Drosophila melanogaster: one gene and its partner. The protein of the gene in region 1 interacts with the protein of each later gene in a pairwise test. Each region holds a gene or a part of one and is shown on either strand. Other genes may lie near its edges. The genes, in order: CG30403 and CG15445.

The links.
Region 2: the proteins of CG30403 (region 1) and CG15445 interact in a two-hybrid assay, tested with the Drosophila melanogaster proteins (one large-scale study listed by BioGRID).

Annotation. Positions count from the first base shown.
Region 1 is NT_033778.4:21,707,970-21,714,372, reverse strand, and holds CG30403 (uncharacterized protein), read left to right. Parts: upstream 1-2,759; 5' UTR 2,760-2,904; coding exon 2,905-3,252; intron 3,253-3,703; coding exon 3,704-4,264; 3' UTR 4,265-4,478; downstream 4,479-6,403.
Region 2 is NC_004354.4:21,114,319-21,122,158, forward strand, and holds CG15445 (uncharacterized protein), read left to right. Parts: upstream 1-2,842; 5' UTR 2,843-3,086; exon of another isoform or gene 3,087-3,144; 5' UTR 3,145-3,177; coding exon 3,178-3,297; intron 3,298-3,997; coding exon 3,998-4,453; intron 4,454-4,543; coding exon 4,544-5,344; exon of another isoform or gene 5,345-5,429; intron 5,430-5,460; coding exon 5,461-5,940; 3' UTR 5,941-6,126; downstream 6,127-7,840. Other genes in the region: unc (uncoordinated), read right to left, coding at 1-1,022, 1,138-1,422, 1,716-2,025.

The DNA of each region.
Region 1 (6,403 bases):
GGCTTTAAGCAATTAATGTTGGTTTTTTAACGTGTTTTATCACAGCGCTCTTTGAACTCTTCCTCTCGCTCGCTCTTGTTGGAGTAAGTTGCAAACTAGCCGTTTATTTGAACAAGTTGTTGGTTTATCACTAATGCATGCGTTATATGTCACAAAATTGATGTTTTTAAAGTTTTTATCTTATTTGCTGCCGTCCGTTCACCAACCTTTGTCGCTTGTGCTTCAAAAAAAACTGAACGAGTCAGCGTCGACTGCCAAAAAGGAAGGCAGCGCGCTCTCACAGTCGACGTCGGCAGAGGTGCGCAAAAAAAAAAAAAGAAGGCGGCAGATGTTCGATAGAGAGAGTGCGGGAGAACTGCGTGGCTTTGCGGTTCGCTTTGGTTTTTACCACTATTCCCCAACTTTCTTTACTGCTGATATTCACAAATGTTATTTTTATAAAAATATAATAATTTCATTAGAAATTATTTACAAATAAATTAACTTGAACAGACTACATTTCATTCTCTCAGAGAGCGAGAGAGAGCAACGCCACTCTCACTCCGAACCGGCAAATTAAAAGAGAAACGCTAAATGTCGGGTAAAAACAAATGCACAAAACCGCATATCTTATAGGAAATAGTAAAGCAAAAAAGGCGCGCGTTTTGCTTGGCGTCTAGAAAACAATTTGGAAAATTGCTACTTTTTGAGCGGAAAACAAGGGGAACTGCGACGTTGGCGGCCATTTTGAGGCGAGGCCTAAGAAGCAGCGAGCAAAGTGAAGAAGTCAAAGCCAAAATGGCAACGCTTTCTCTGCTCTTTGGCTTGGGGGTACAGACACGCGCTGCTTGATTAAATTCACAACTGATTTAACGACGGAAAACTGAATTTCGCACTACAAATATGCTTCACACAACTAGGCACTTATATCTGTATAACTAATTCCATATACTTTTTACATTTTATCTTGCACAATATTATTTAGAACTCAGTAGAGGAAACCAACCTTGCGCTTGTGTGGCTAAAAATGAACTGTACGGAAGAACGGAACGGTTGGCACAACGAAAAAAACGAGAGAAGATGAGAGAGTGCAAAGAAACGCCGACAAGCAGCGACGCCGTGTTGGTATTGGTGAGAGAGTAAGAGAGTTCTCTCCCTCTCTCTGCGACGGGGAGCAAAACGGAATACAATAAATGGCATGTAAAAACAAATAAAACGCTAAGCAGGGAAAATGCGTTTTGCACAATAGTGGACGAACTAAATGGGCAAAAACAAATAAATGCACATCTCGATTCCTGCGAAATATTGCAACTATTTTGCGGTTTCTCATTTTCTTCCACTTTCCCATAAGTACAAACTGCACGGGAATCAAATTCTCTTAGTTGAGCAGTACAAAGAACGAGGGTCGCTTTTTAAAAATGGCGCCAAAATTTATATGCCCAAAAAATAGGTACCATTAAATATTTTAAAAAATATATAATAACTTCTCAGCCTACCCTTGATTTAGTACAGTTGATAGAAACTTGTTCCTATATATGTATGTATGTAGATCTATATAACATATCACCTGAATTTTGATTTTTCAAACTAATCGAAAATTAATGACAATTAAACTCGTTAATACTTTATATTAATACATACCATTTTATATTAGATAAAAAAGATATTTTTTCGAAATACATAGTACTGTTGAATTTAATTTTTATAAAAACTACAATGCAACTTTTGATCTGAAGTTAAATTAAATACTATGTGCAGAAGATCCTAATAGGGAAATAACCGTTACATATCGGCTAGATTTTCAGCGGCAGATGCAGCAAACCATTTTCCCACAATCAAATCGTAAATGCCCAGAAACGGGAACAAAGGATCCAAAATCGTGGCTGCAGTTTTTCCTCCTGTAGGCACAAAGGATAACGATGTCACGCGCTGTTGCAAGTTCACAATAGCGAAGGATGAAACAGGAAAAGCGAAGGGGCAAGAGCGAAGGGAAGACAAACAACTATGGAACCTACCTGAAGGAAAGAAACTGCATTCCGTTGCACACAGATTGCATGAGGGAAAATCTGGTTCGAAGAAATTGTAATATTAATTCGAAATGGGCGAGCCCAAATGCTTTCTGTTAATTAACAGCTGCTGTTAATGCGCGATCCCTCTCCCAGTCTTCATTTGAGAATAACTTCAACTTTATTATGTGCGTGAGTCCGTTATTTTTTATGTATGTATGTATGTATATGAATGAACAAGCTTACAGGGGCGCTTGCAGGATTTTACTGAAAGACAAATATGCTTTAATTTTTTGAATAAAATAGAGAGAATAGAAATTTGCATTATTAGAGTCGGAAGAAGAAACTCTTTGAATCCGCAACCGTGTTCAAAGAGCGCGTCCCGAATAACGGACCTGCGCTCTCTTTCGTTCGCAAAAGTAGCAAAGCAACTCGTCAGCACATTCATTCGTTTTTGCTTTGGCAATGCTTGAAAAAACCGTGGTTTACTTGCTTTTCTTGGGATTTTAAGTGTTGAAAACATTTTCAATATGTAATTTGATTCTTATACTTGAATACGTTGTCAGAGCCAAGGACTGCGTTACTAAGAAGTAGTTTTTTTCGGTAGCTCATTAAATTTTGGGGTTTCTAGACAACAGTTTAAAATTTCTGTCATTTGTGCTTTATGAAAGCAGACTTGCAGAAGCACACAGCAAAAGCATCACAGAAACAGAATCCATGAGCGAGAGGAGCGGTGGAGAGAAGCAGCAGAAAAGCAGAAAGCAACATGTACACCGTCAGTTGTGGAGCAGCAGTTGCTCGAAGTGGTTATCGTTTGTGCTTTTTCCCTTTGTGCTTTTTGGCACGAGGGACCATTGCCAAAGCGGGTTCTCTAAAAATAGAAAGCATTTCCAAAAACGATTATATTTTGAACGCGGCCATGAACAGTGCCGTACCGCCCGGCGTGTTGGGACTACCCTATCGATTTTCGGATGAGCGTACGGTCAAGTTCGTAGAGCTTTACGGCCGGGAACCTTGTCTCTGGAACAAGCGACCATATTTGCGACGAGCTCGAAGCGCCGCCTATCGGCGAATTCAGTCCGGGATCAATGCTGATATTGAACCATATGAGTCAGGTCTTACCATCCAGGGCGTAAAGATGAAGATCAAGAATCTTCGTACTGGGTACCACCAGGAGCTAAAGAAGATCCGAACTATTCCGGGATATCAGCCAAAGACGCCCTGGTTTGCCCCACTTCACGGGTTTTTGGCAGAGTTCTTGGACACGGTAAGGGATGTTTACGATTAAGCATTTGTATAAATTTGCATTTGTATTATAAAATAAGATTTAGAACATGACTTATTTTTCTATTGAGGATTTTGAAGCACTAGAAATGAATAGCACACAAATAAATTTTGTTCATTTCGGAATTTAAAATATTCCTCGACGAACATTTTGTGTGGCCCACTGTGTGAATAAACTCAATGGGCTTTGAAAAACTTTTGGGACAGAATTGAAGCATCAGTCTTTTGCTCTTAAGCTTAAACTGCGGTCACAGCGGTCATGATGTTTTCTATATATCGCAATCTACAAATTGAATCAATATGAAAACACATTGTGCGGTAGGATTGGTTTTTAATGAAACATTTTTATTAATAATTATTATAGTTAGTTAATAGATGTTTATGAAAAGATTGCCGACTGGTTTTCATTTAATTTCATGTATATTTGGTTACAGAATGAGTTGGAAACATCAATTCCTCAACTAAAGCGCCTACAGATTCGACTTACCAGACTGAAGCCGATTAAGATTCAGACGGAGATTAAGCCAGATCCCGATGACTTGTCAGTCCCCGATAGGCCGTTGGATGCTACACCCTCTTCCTTATTTACCGTTCTGCCAGCACCTATGCCCGTGGAGGAGCCTCCCACTCCACCGCCTTCCGTGCCCAAGATCGGAGACATCATCTCACCAGTACATCCAGACCCAGCGCCTGTTCCGATAGCAGGGAACTGTCCTCTGTCGACAGCCTGCTCCATTTCTGAAAAAAGTGAGGTCTTGGGATTGGGCCTGGGAGTATCGGCAGCTGGACGGACGAATGGAGTTGGCCTTGGAGTTGAAATGCGAGGCGAGGACGAATTCACCTACTTCGGGTTGAGCGTTGCAGCGCAAATCCGTAATATGCCATTGGCCAGTGCCATGCTAATGCAGTCGAAAATCCAGTATATGCTCTCTATGGAGCGTCGTAAGATTAACGGTCATCCTGGCGATATGGACATATTTCTAACTAAAAACTAAGTTTCTTTTGAAAATGGTGGAGATTACATTCCTTTAAATGAATCTGTGAATATGGTTATACGTTATCTGCTTGTATAATTTGGCAGAAAATCTTCATTGTACAATTAACCATGCTTATGTGCTGTGTGTTCTTGTTTAAAAACACTCTTGAAGTATCATATTGGATTAAAATCAACGACAAAGCAACCTCATGTTATATATAAGTTATATAATTTATGATAAGTGGAAGAAAAATATATTTTTGTTCATACCAAATCGAAAAATTCGAATTTAAATTTATGTAAATTAAACCTTTGCTGTACGGCTGATGCGCCTAGGAACAGAAAAAATAAAACTACAAAATATGCAAAAATAATGTAAATTAGATAATTTATAATTTACCATTCATGGTAACATATCATTGCTGGATTATCTAGTGGCTTCGATTTGCGAGCGTTCACTGTGCCGCCGGAAGAAAAGCAGAAAAGCAAGACGGCAAAAACATTGCGAGTGGGAGAAAACAAAACTGTACAGTACAGCGAACCAGCAAATAGAGGCACTCTCTTCGACCGACTGAGTGTGTTGGTGAGCTGTGTAAAATACACGCGAGTAAAGTGCGTGTAAAATGTGACATAATGTAATGCGTAATGTATATTTCAATTAAATCTATAATCAGTTGCAAATATGTTTTATTTAGTTACGGATATATCTTTTATTTCAAATTTTGACTCTTTCAGCAAATGTGACGCATTCACACACACACACACACACACAACCGGTGTATGTGCTGAATAAATTCTCAGGAGAAGAGAAAACCGAGACTCTGAAACCGGACGACGAACGACAACAAAACGCACGACTGTTGTTGCTTTTGCTTATCAACTTTGCCAGTTTATTCGCAGCATATCAACACCCTACCCGAATTCGCAAGTCGGGCTTAACTGTTCTTGTAGACCCTTCGCCTGTTACCTTCAAAATGACAACCAATACCCGATACTGACACAAACTGTAGAAATATTTTAGTTTCGTAATTAGAATCTAGTCACAAACAGTTTATTTTGATTAACTAAAAAATTGTAAATAACAAAATGATATTTTCAAATAAATTTGATCTAATAAACTTACTTTCATGGTAGTGGTGGGATCACATTATCATATCTAAAAATTACGCACCATAAAAGTTTTAATTACTTAAAAGTCCAATTGGGCTCAAAGGACCAAGAACCCCCATCGAGTAGTCCGCCCACATATGTACATATGTATGTATGTTTGGACAGTGGCTAGTGTTGCATTTTAGAGCTCCGCTTTAAATTGGGTCACAACGGAGTTAGTCCTGTTGCTCGTGTTGGTTTTGCCACTTCCACTGCCGCCTGGTGGTGCAACAATAGGCCCCACGGAATGTGCCGAAGATACAGATACTGAACTTGGCCGTGGAGACCGATGGGGCATGGGGCGTGGGGCGTTGGGCATTCGGATTCGCACTCCCATACGTTGCTCGTTGTTGCTAGCGACCGGCAAGCTCTATCCAAAACACACACCACCACACTAACAAAACAACAACGCGTCGCCGGGCCATCGCCAGCCGTATTATTTAGCGAGCTGCTCCCCAGATTTTCCCCGATTTCCCCTTTTTGGCGCACATGCAGCCGCATCAGCTGTTCGCCAGAAACGAACCCCCCCGTGGAAGGTGGGAGCACAAAACAGAAACTGAAATCGAAAGAGAATCCGAACCAGAAAGGAAGGCCATATAAGTGAATCGCGAGGGGCTTACCTCAGGTTTTGATTCCACCTGCTGTGGAAGCTTAAGGAAACGATTAAAACGTGCTTGATACAACAATCAATTAACCAGGGATTATTTACTGATTAATTTATGATCCTTCAAGGATAAATCTCTAAAGAATTTACCGTCGCTTGTTTTACAATTTTGAACATGTATGTATATGCGAAGTAAACTTTTTTATTAACACCCAAATTTTCGACTTAAAAACTGAATAAACAAAACTTCCTTTGAAATGCATTCATAACTTCGTTAATCCCGATTTAATAACTACTAAGCGATGCCCTGCAAAATGTGGCGCCAAAAGATATATTCTTTCGGAGCCGTAAGACCCTCCATAAAATGCAAAGGCAAAACCAAGTACATTTAGTCCATATGCCAAG
Region 2 (7,840 bases), on another chromosome or scaffold:
GCCGCACACATCCCCCATCAGGGTCTCCATTCGCTCCATGGAGACGTACATCCGGCCCTGCGGCTGCCGGCTCTTTTTCTGCACCTTTTCGAGGGACTGGCGGATCACGGCCAGGCTGGCCAGTTGTTCACTGTGGAGACGGGGCAGCTGAGGAATGGTCACATCCAGGGCTGGCACTTGAATGGGTCCCAGGTTGGAGTGAACCACATCTTTCTGGTTCCTGCCACTGGTTACCTCATGCTCCTCTTCCTTGTCCCCGGTGGCAATTTTGATCACCGGTTCGCCCGGGTTAAATGCTTGACCAGCTTTCAAAAGTCGCTCCCTTTCGCGCAGCTCCTTCATTAGGAGATCCTCGAATTTTGTCGATGATATCACCTCAACGGGCGGAGCACACGACTTGGCCAAATGGCGGAGATTCTTAATCAGCTGATTAAGCTGCTGCTCCACGGAATGCAGAGATTGCGAGACACGACCGCCCACAAAGACACTTCGGCCATCTGCGCCCAGAATCAGCTCGTGCTCCTCCGTCTGATACAGACCAGTGGTGTCCACCTCGGGACGAGCTTCCACGCAGGCAGAGGGCTCCGTTTGACAGCCGGTGTCTTGCAGAGAGACAGGGACCGGTTGTTCCACCTCCTGCTTAGGCACGGACCTCCTGATCTCCACCAGCGTTCGCATAAGAGCCATCAGCAAGCACTGCGTTTGTCCAGCCAGATCCTCCTCGTAGTGGGCCTCCGCCAGCTTTCCAAATTCCGAATCCGCTAGAGCTTCTTTTTCTCCCAGTATGGCGGCCACGACCTTCTGCAGTTCCTCCGTCTGGAATCGGAACTCCGGCCGACTCCGGAAGTCCGGCAGGTTGCTGCGATGCGGCGTCTCGCTGCAGAAGACCGACAGTGTGAAGTGGCAGTTCTGGGAGTGCAGAAACTCCGCCACCAGAGTGTGCAGCACCATCGCCAGTGGCGAGACGAGCAGTGCGTGGGACTGAGCCATCTGCACACCAGCAGCCTTGCTCAAGAGCTGGCCTGGAACGGGTACATTTATGGTTAGATCGATTAATAAATTAAAAAGGGGGTTTTCAATAAACTTTGAGATGCCAAATAGTAAAATATCTTTCATTAGTTTGATTAGCAAACCCACCGAGTGCCGTATTATTGAAGCAGTGAATGAGCTCCACCCGCAGGTGAGAGTGCATCTCCCGGGCAATCCCCTCCTGGTCCAGCCACTGGCGGAACTTCACCTCGAACTCCTGCTCCGACATCGCGGCCAGTTCCTCGAGCTGTTGCCTCAGCCGTTCCGCCCTGGCATCGGAGTCATCCTGCTCCTCAATCTGATCCTGAGGAATAGGTACGTGCTTTCTGGTAGGCCTTCCTGTGCGGTATCCGTGTGCTCCAACCTCCGGGGGCAATGATGATCCCCGCGTTACTGAACACAAAATGGGATTATCAGTGAATATGAATCGCTATTAAGTTCGTAAAGGTTTATTGTACTGAATATTTTAATTTGAAAAGATTATTTTTCGAACAAATTTGTGTACGTCGGAGTATAAAGATTGCTGGTTTCTTAGAGTTATAATAATAATAATAAAAATAGTTATAATAATAATATTAATAATAAAAATAATTATTATAATAATAATAATAATAGTTATAATAATAATAATACTTATAATAATAATAATAAAAATATTAATATTATTATAAAAATAATAGGCCCACCTCTAGTTATATTTGATGGTCCGCACGGTCCTGGTCTGCCCAGTCCGGTTGCTTGGAGTCGCTCCCTGGACTGCGTCATTCTCCGCCTGGCGGGATCGCCGTCGGTGCTGATCCTTCGATTATGCTGGCGCACCCGCTGTGTCGCCGACGCCGCTGTGGCCCGCTCCTGCTTAATCTGCTCCTCCCGCTCCCGCTTTGCGGCCTCGTGCTTCCGCTCCCGCTCGCAAGGCATGCCGATGCCGCCCACATCCCGCTGCTTCGCCCTGAACGATAACGTTGTCGTGCTCGCCGGCACGTGGCGAACCTTCATGCCGTCCTGAAGGAACTCGAGGCTCGGATGGGATCGAGAGTTGGTCTGCGTATGCTCGGATAGAACCTCTGACCGCCGCTTACATGCGCCGCGTTTGAGTAACTGAACTTTCCAGGTAAAACGAGCACGAGCGCAAGACACTCACCACCAACAGCGAAATGTGACAGGTGCGACGGAGCCTGCCCTGCCACCTGGGAACTGAGTGAAATTGGGGAGGAGGTCAACTCGATCGTCGGGGGTTGGTCCTCCTAAAGGCGTCAGCTGTGTTGCCTATGTGAAGCGTGCTCTAAAAATTAAGTGAAATATATGACAACTGAGTTCTATGAAATGGTATTCTAAGCAAAAGCTTATTTATCATAAGTAATTGCTCACTAATACTTATAACGGCGGCAGTATTTACTGCCGAGCCCATATTAAAACAGCAATACTTCTTGTGGAAGCGTGTATTTGGTGTATTTTTCACAATAATAATATTTTGAATTTTAATTCAAAACAGTTCCGCTTTAAAGTTGGCAGTTGACTATCGATAGATAATTGTCCGCAAAACAGCTGATTGCTAAGTAGTAAGTGCATCAGCCGTACTGACGGTGAAACTGAAATATGAGTTTCTTGCGTTAAATGGTATAGAAATAATATAATATAAATCAACAAGCACAGCTGTGTTTGCCAATGCGTTTTTATAAAAAACCAAATTTGAAGACTTTGACTATTAACGGGCAGAACGTTCATGTCAGTCAGCTTTTGCAAGCGTTTCGCTGTGGCTGACAGATGGCCGAGTGCTGCAAGAGCCGATAGCTATCGAGTTGCAGTTGTTGTGTCAAACGACAAAAAAGACCCAATTGCGGTGATTCCACCAGGCAGAGCTTATCCCATACGAAGACGCAGCACAGTTCACATTAAATAAATTTCCGTAAATAGTTCTTATTTGTCACCCGCCCAAAATTAAAGTCTACTCCACTGCACCCAACCCCGCGATTATCAACGACTGCGCATCGTTCTTTGTTGTTTCGTGTAGAAACACATGTGCAAGGAAGAAGAAGAACCAGAACATCACATCACTCGTAAATAGTAAATATCTAGAGCATGCCCGATCCTTTGTGACGCGTCAGTTTCAGCCAGTTCGCCACAATTTTTGCCAAGTCATCGTCGAAAATGTCACAAAACGACAACCTACTCATCCAGATCCGCGCCCTTCTCCAGTCCGATGGCGAGAAGCTGTGGGAGGAGCCCTACTACTCCGAAGATCTTGGTAGCATCGAGGGAGCACTAGAAGTACGTACTATATGCCCACCACCCCACACCTAAATGCCTTCCAGTCAGTGGTCGGGGAAATGACAAGAATGCCTGAAATACGGTTGGCAATATAGAAATATTATATTCAAAATGCATATATTATATATATATATATATATATATATTATATATTTATTTGTTAGTTCTTTTCACATTTGAAGAAGTAAGAAGCTAGTTTCGACAAGCCGTAACTTATATACACCTTCAGCTAAGTTCATATTATTAACACTTATTTTAGTTTGATTAGTTTGATCATATGATATTATTGTCCAATTAAAAATACTTAAAAAAAAAACAACATGACATTGCACAAACGAATCTTTTAAATTCCTATTATACTTTAATAATTCTGAATTACAAGAGTAACGACAAAGATATTATTTAGTTTCCTTATATAGGTTTTTGATCTGTTTCGCTTCGACTTATTTATAACGCCTAGAATAAAAATAAGATTTTAAACCGATAGATTTGTTGGCGTGTGAAAATGTGATTGCTTTCTTGAATTATTATTTATTTTTCAATAAATAGAGGTTGAGGGATTTTAAAAATAAAGTAAGACCAATAGTAGTCAAAAGAATAGCACATTACCAGCATTCATACTCAGGAACTCAGTAGCTTTGGATTAATATAATATATAATATTTTATTCTATAATAAGATGTGTATCCATTTCATTAAAGAACCTGGCGCAGAAGTACTCCGGCATGTTGGGCATCGATATAGGTCGCTGCAAGTTCTTTTTGACCGAGCTGCAGGAAAATGCTCTCCGTACGCTGGCCGCCCGACGTGAGTTCAGCACCACAGGAATTGCCACGTTGAAGGTTCGCCGCGTTGGCGAGCACAGCGGTGCCACAATGGTGGAAGTGAAGTGCAGCTTGGACATCGTGGGCTCCGAACTCCAGGCATGCATAGCGAAGAAACTGGAAGTGCCGAATGCTGCGCACGTCAAGTGCATCGCTGCCGGCAAAGTGGTGTCCGCCAATGCCACTTTGGCCGACCAGCAGTTGAAGAACAACCAGCAGTTGATTGTCATTGTGGGCGATGGGGATAATTCTGGCGAAGCCCTGTACGAAAGGATCAATCGCATCAAGGCCGATGTGGAGGCGGTGGTGTCCTCGAAGAATAACCTAATAGAGGTGAGTAAATCGGAAGGAAAGTTGCTTAGGTTGTTGTTTAGAAGGTTTTTTAAATCACACCACTTGTTTGTATTTTCGTGTCATGCCCAGATGGAGGATCAGAATGGCAGCCAAGTGTATTTGCCGCCTTCCGAGCATAAAGCCCTGCTCATGGGTTTGGGATTCTGTGAGAAGGCCCGTGCGGCCATGAATCGCAAGCATTTTGAGGAGGCTCTGCTCCTGCTTTTGGAGGCCGACGAGCATTTTTCTACCTGTGGCTCAAAGTTTCTAGAGTCCGTGGATAACTATGCTTTGCTGAACCTCGACATAGTGTGGTGCTATTTTTGCCTGAAGAACGTTACCCAGCTCCCGGATGCTGAGCATCGCTTGGCCCGCTGCAGTCGCAATTTCGGCATCAGCTATGGCGACAATTTGGAGAGGCTGTACTCCTTGAAGGGCAAGGACTGTCCCGAGAGGGCTTTAATTATGCGGCTTAAGTTGCTCCAGGGCGTGATCTTCTTCCACCAGAATCTTCGCAATCAGGCATTTGAGTGCTTCGAAGCGGCTAAAACTCTGCTAAATGAACTAAAGATCAACAACGACCAACTGGCTCTCCTGGTCGATATGGGCTTCGAGCCCTCCGAGGCTCGTATGGCCCTGCGCTCCTGCAAGGGCGGCACCGCCGTCGAACAGGCTGTTCAGTTTATTCACGAGCGTCGTCAGCAGCTCAAGAATGCACGCATGAAATATAAAGCGTCCGAGCGTGCTATGGAGCGCCGCCTGAAGCGCTCCAATTCCAAAGATTGCACCTGGGTGAATCCCCGCAGTGTCTGCAGCCTTGCTGACATGGGATTCGAGAGCGGACTGGCCACTATCGCCTTGCAGCGCTCTAATAATGATATCCTCCAAGCGGTAAGTGTGGCCAAGAATATATTCAATGACATGAATTGATCAGTATGTTTTAACTATAATCTCATGGATGTCACGTGTTTGTAAACTATAAAATAATAGAAATATTTTTTTCTTAGGTGGAACTGCTGCAGACAGAATCGGACGAACTTACTGGTGCTTCGCCATGGTTTCCGGTCACCGTAGACACGACCAAACTGGCTCAGCTTCTGCAACTGGGATTCAACGAGAACGACTCGCGCGTGGCCCTACAGAATGCATCAAATAACATGGAAGAGGCCATCGAGAGTCTGATGTGCGCCATAGAGAGCGAGGAGGAGCTGAAAGCGATTTTAAAGCACGTTGGGCGTTTGGCCGAAAATGGTGGGCAAAATCTTGACGGCCCCTCTACTTCGAACGCCTCCGGGCAGACGCAAGTTGCTTTGCCAGCGCCCATTATCGAAGCTGTTATCAATCATGCTCGCGTCGAGATTGAAACGTACAAGGCCTACGAGCGCTTTAACTCCGACCTCAAACTGAGCGACCTGGAATACCTGGACTTGCCACTTATCCAGGAGGAGAAGATCCTGACTGAGTATTTCAATATGCTGCAGCAGTAGCTTGTATTTGACTTGCCTTTTTTATATCTATACAAAAAAATATAGAAACCCGAAACCGGTTGTCAAGATAACTGTAATCATGACTTGTCTATATTGCAAATCGTAGTCTTATAATGGCACTTAAGTGGCATTCAGCTCCCCTCCCGGCTGCTGTTTGTCCAACTAGGCAAATAGTAAAATATAGAGATTTATAAGTACATGCCTTCTATTGACAACTGCAAAATGTGATTGCGCCGAGCCAGCGGGAGAATTCACCTTTTGGAGCCACCTGAAACTTGTTAGCGCCTCTGGTCATTGCTTATTTTTTTTTTATCGTTTGTTTTTTTTTTTGTCGCTTGACTCTCGACCCCGGCTCGGACGGCGGCGCTTGATTGGGTTCAGTCGTGACCTTGTCGAGGCCAAAGGGCGCCGCTCACTAAGCTCATCCCGTCGACGAATTGAGCGGAACTTACACGATTTGCTGTAAGTATTTGCTTTGCTTAGCAAAGAATTTATTTATTTATTCAAGTAGCACCAAGACTAAATATTATAAGTCAACTAATTGGTTTTCTATATGTATGTACATACATATGTGTAAAATAGTAATTTTCTATTTATACACGTTACTCGCAGAGTGAATAGTATGTAAAATGTTGTCTTGTACAAATTGGCACGGTGCCATAGGATTAAAGTATCCTGCGGCAAATGTGTTGCAAACATGTGTTTTTACATCCTTGTTGGGCGAAATGAAAAATTTAGCAACTGGATTTTTTTTTCCGTAAAAGTATTTGCTCTCATGAAATTAGGTGTGATAGGAAAATGAATTTGGTAGTTATCATACTCTTCAAATATCTGAAAATGTCCTATATCGTACAGTCTGTGGCTATACTTGTGTTTATTTTATAGTGCTAAGCTAAGACACGTGATATATACATAAAAATATAATTTGAAGAAACAAAACTTTATATCTGAAAAAATTATATTAAAGCAAGAATCCAAATCGAAGTAGAATGGTTAAATTGCCAATAGATAGTTCACGATTCTCGATTGGCAATCAGTCATTCACCTATTGGAAAGAGCCAGCACCACTTGGAACCCCCATTTACCCCCAACAACCCTTCTCCAAGTGAAGGCGGTCGCATGCGTGCCTCAAGTGGGAGTGAATGTCGGGTGTTAAGGTAGCACGTGGAAGCCAGTAGCTGACTCAAGCCACTAGGCATCCACGTACACTTATTCCGGAGCAGTTTATAATAATGGCTTGGGCTTAATGGAAATCGGCAGTGAATGAACCCCATCACTGAACCCGGAATGATTTCAAGGAGACTGTAAATTGCACCTATTGTAATTTGCGAACGGTTTTTAAAAACGAGGGCAAAATATAATTAATACATTTTTGAGGTTCTACTAATAAGATTATAGAACTAAAGTATACTCTTGAGCGACATGTCCGTGTCTTGTAAGATTTGCAAAAAAAAAAAAATATATATATATTACACGGCATATAGTCTGTAGTATGTATATAGTATATATAATTCCACCTTATACGTTGATGCGATTTTGGCCTATGAAATGATTAAGACCTGAGTGAACCCAAATCCACTGAACCCGAAATGATTTAAGCTTATAAAAAATTTAAACTCCAAAACAATGCCTATCTGAAGTATTTAAATGTTTCATAAATACGTTTCTAATCTTGTAATTGTATCTAGAGAATTACACTATGGATTACTGACGTGTGCTCTTTTGTCTCGAGCTTGTTTTTAAATTATAATTACTTTAGCTTAACTTTTTGCCACTTTAGTTCCCAGTTTCTATATTGTCATCGCTAGTTGGCCGTTTTAGTTGCTCGCTTCGCTTTATTCCGATAAACAATTTCATAATTCGTATATATAGTTTTAATTTCAGCATTTTTAACGTTTAG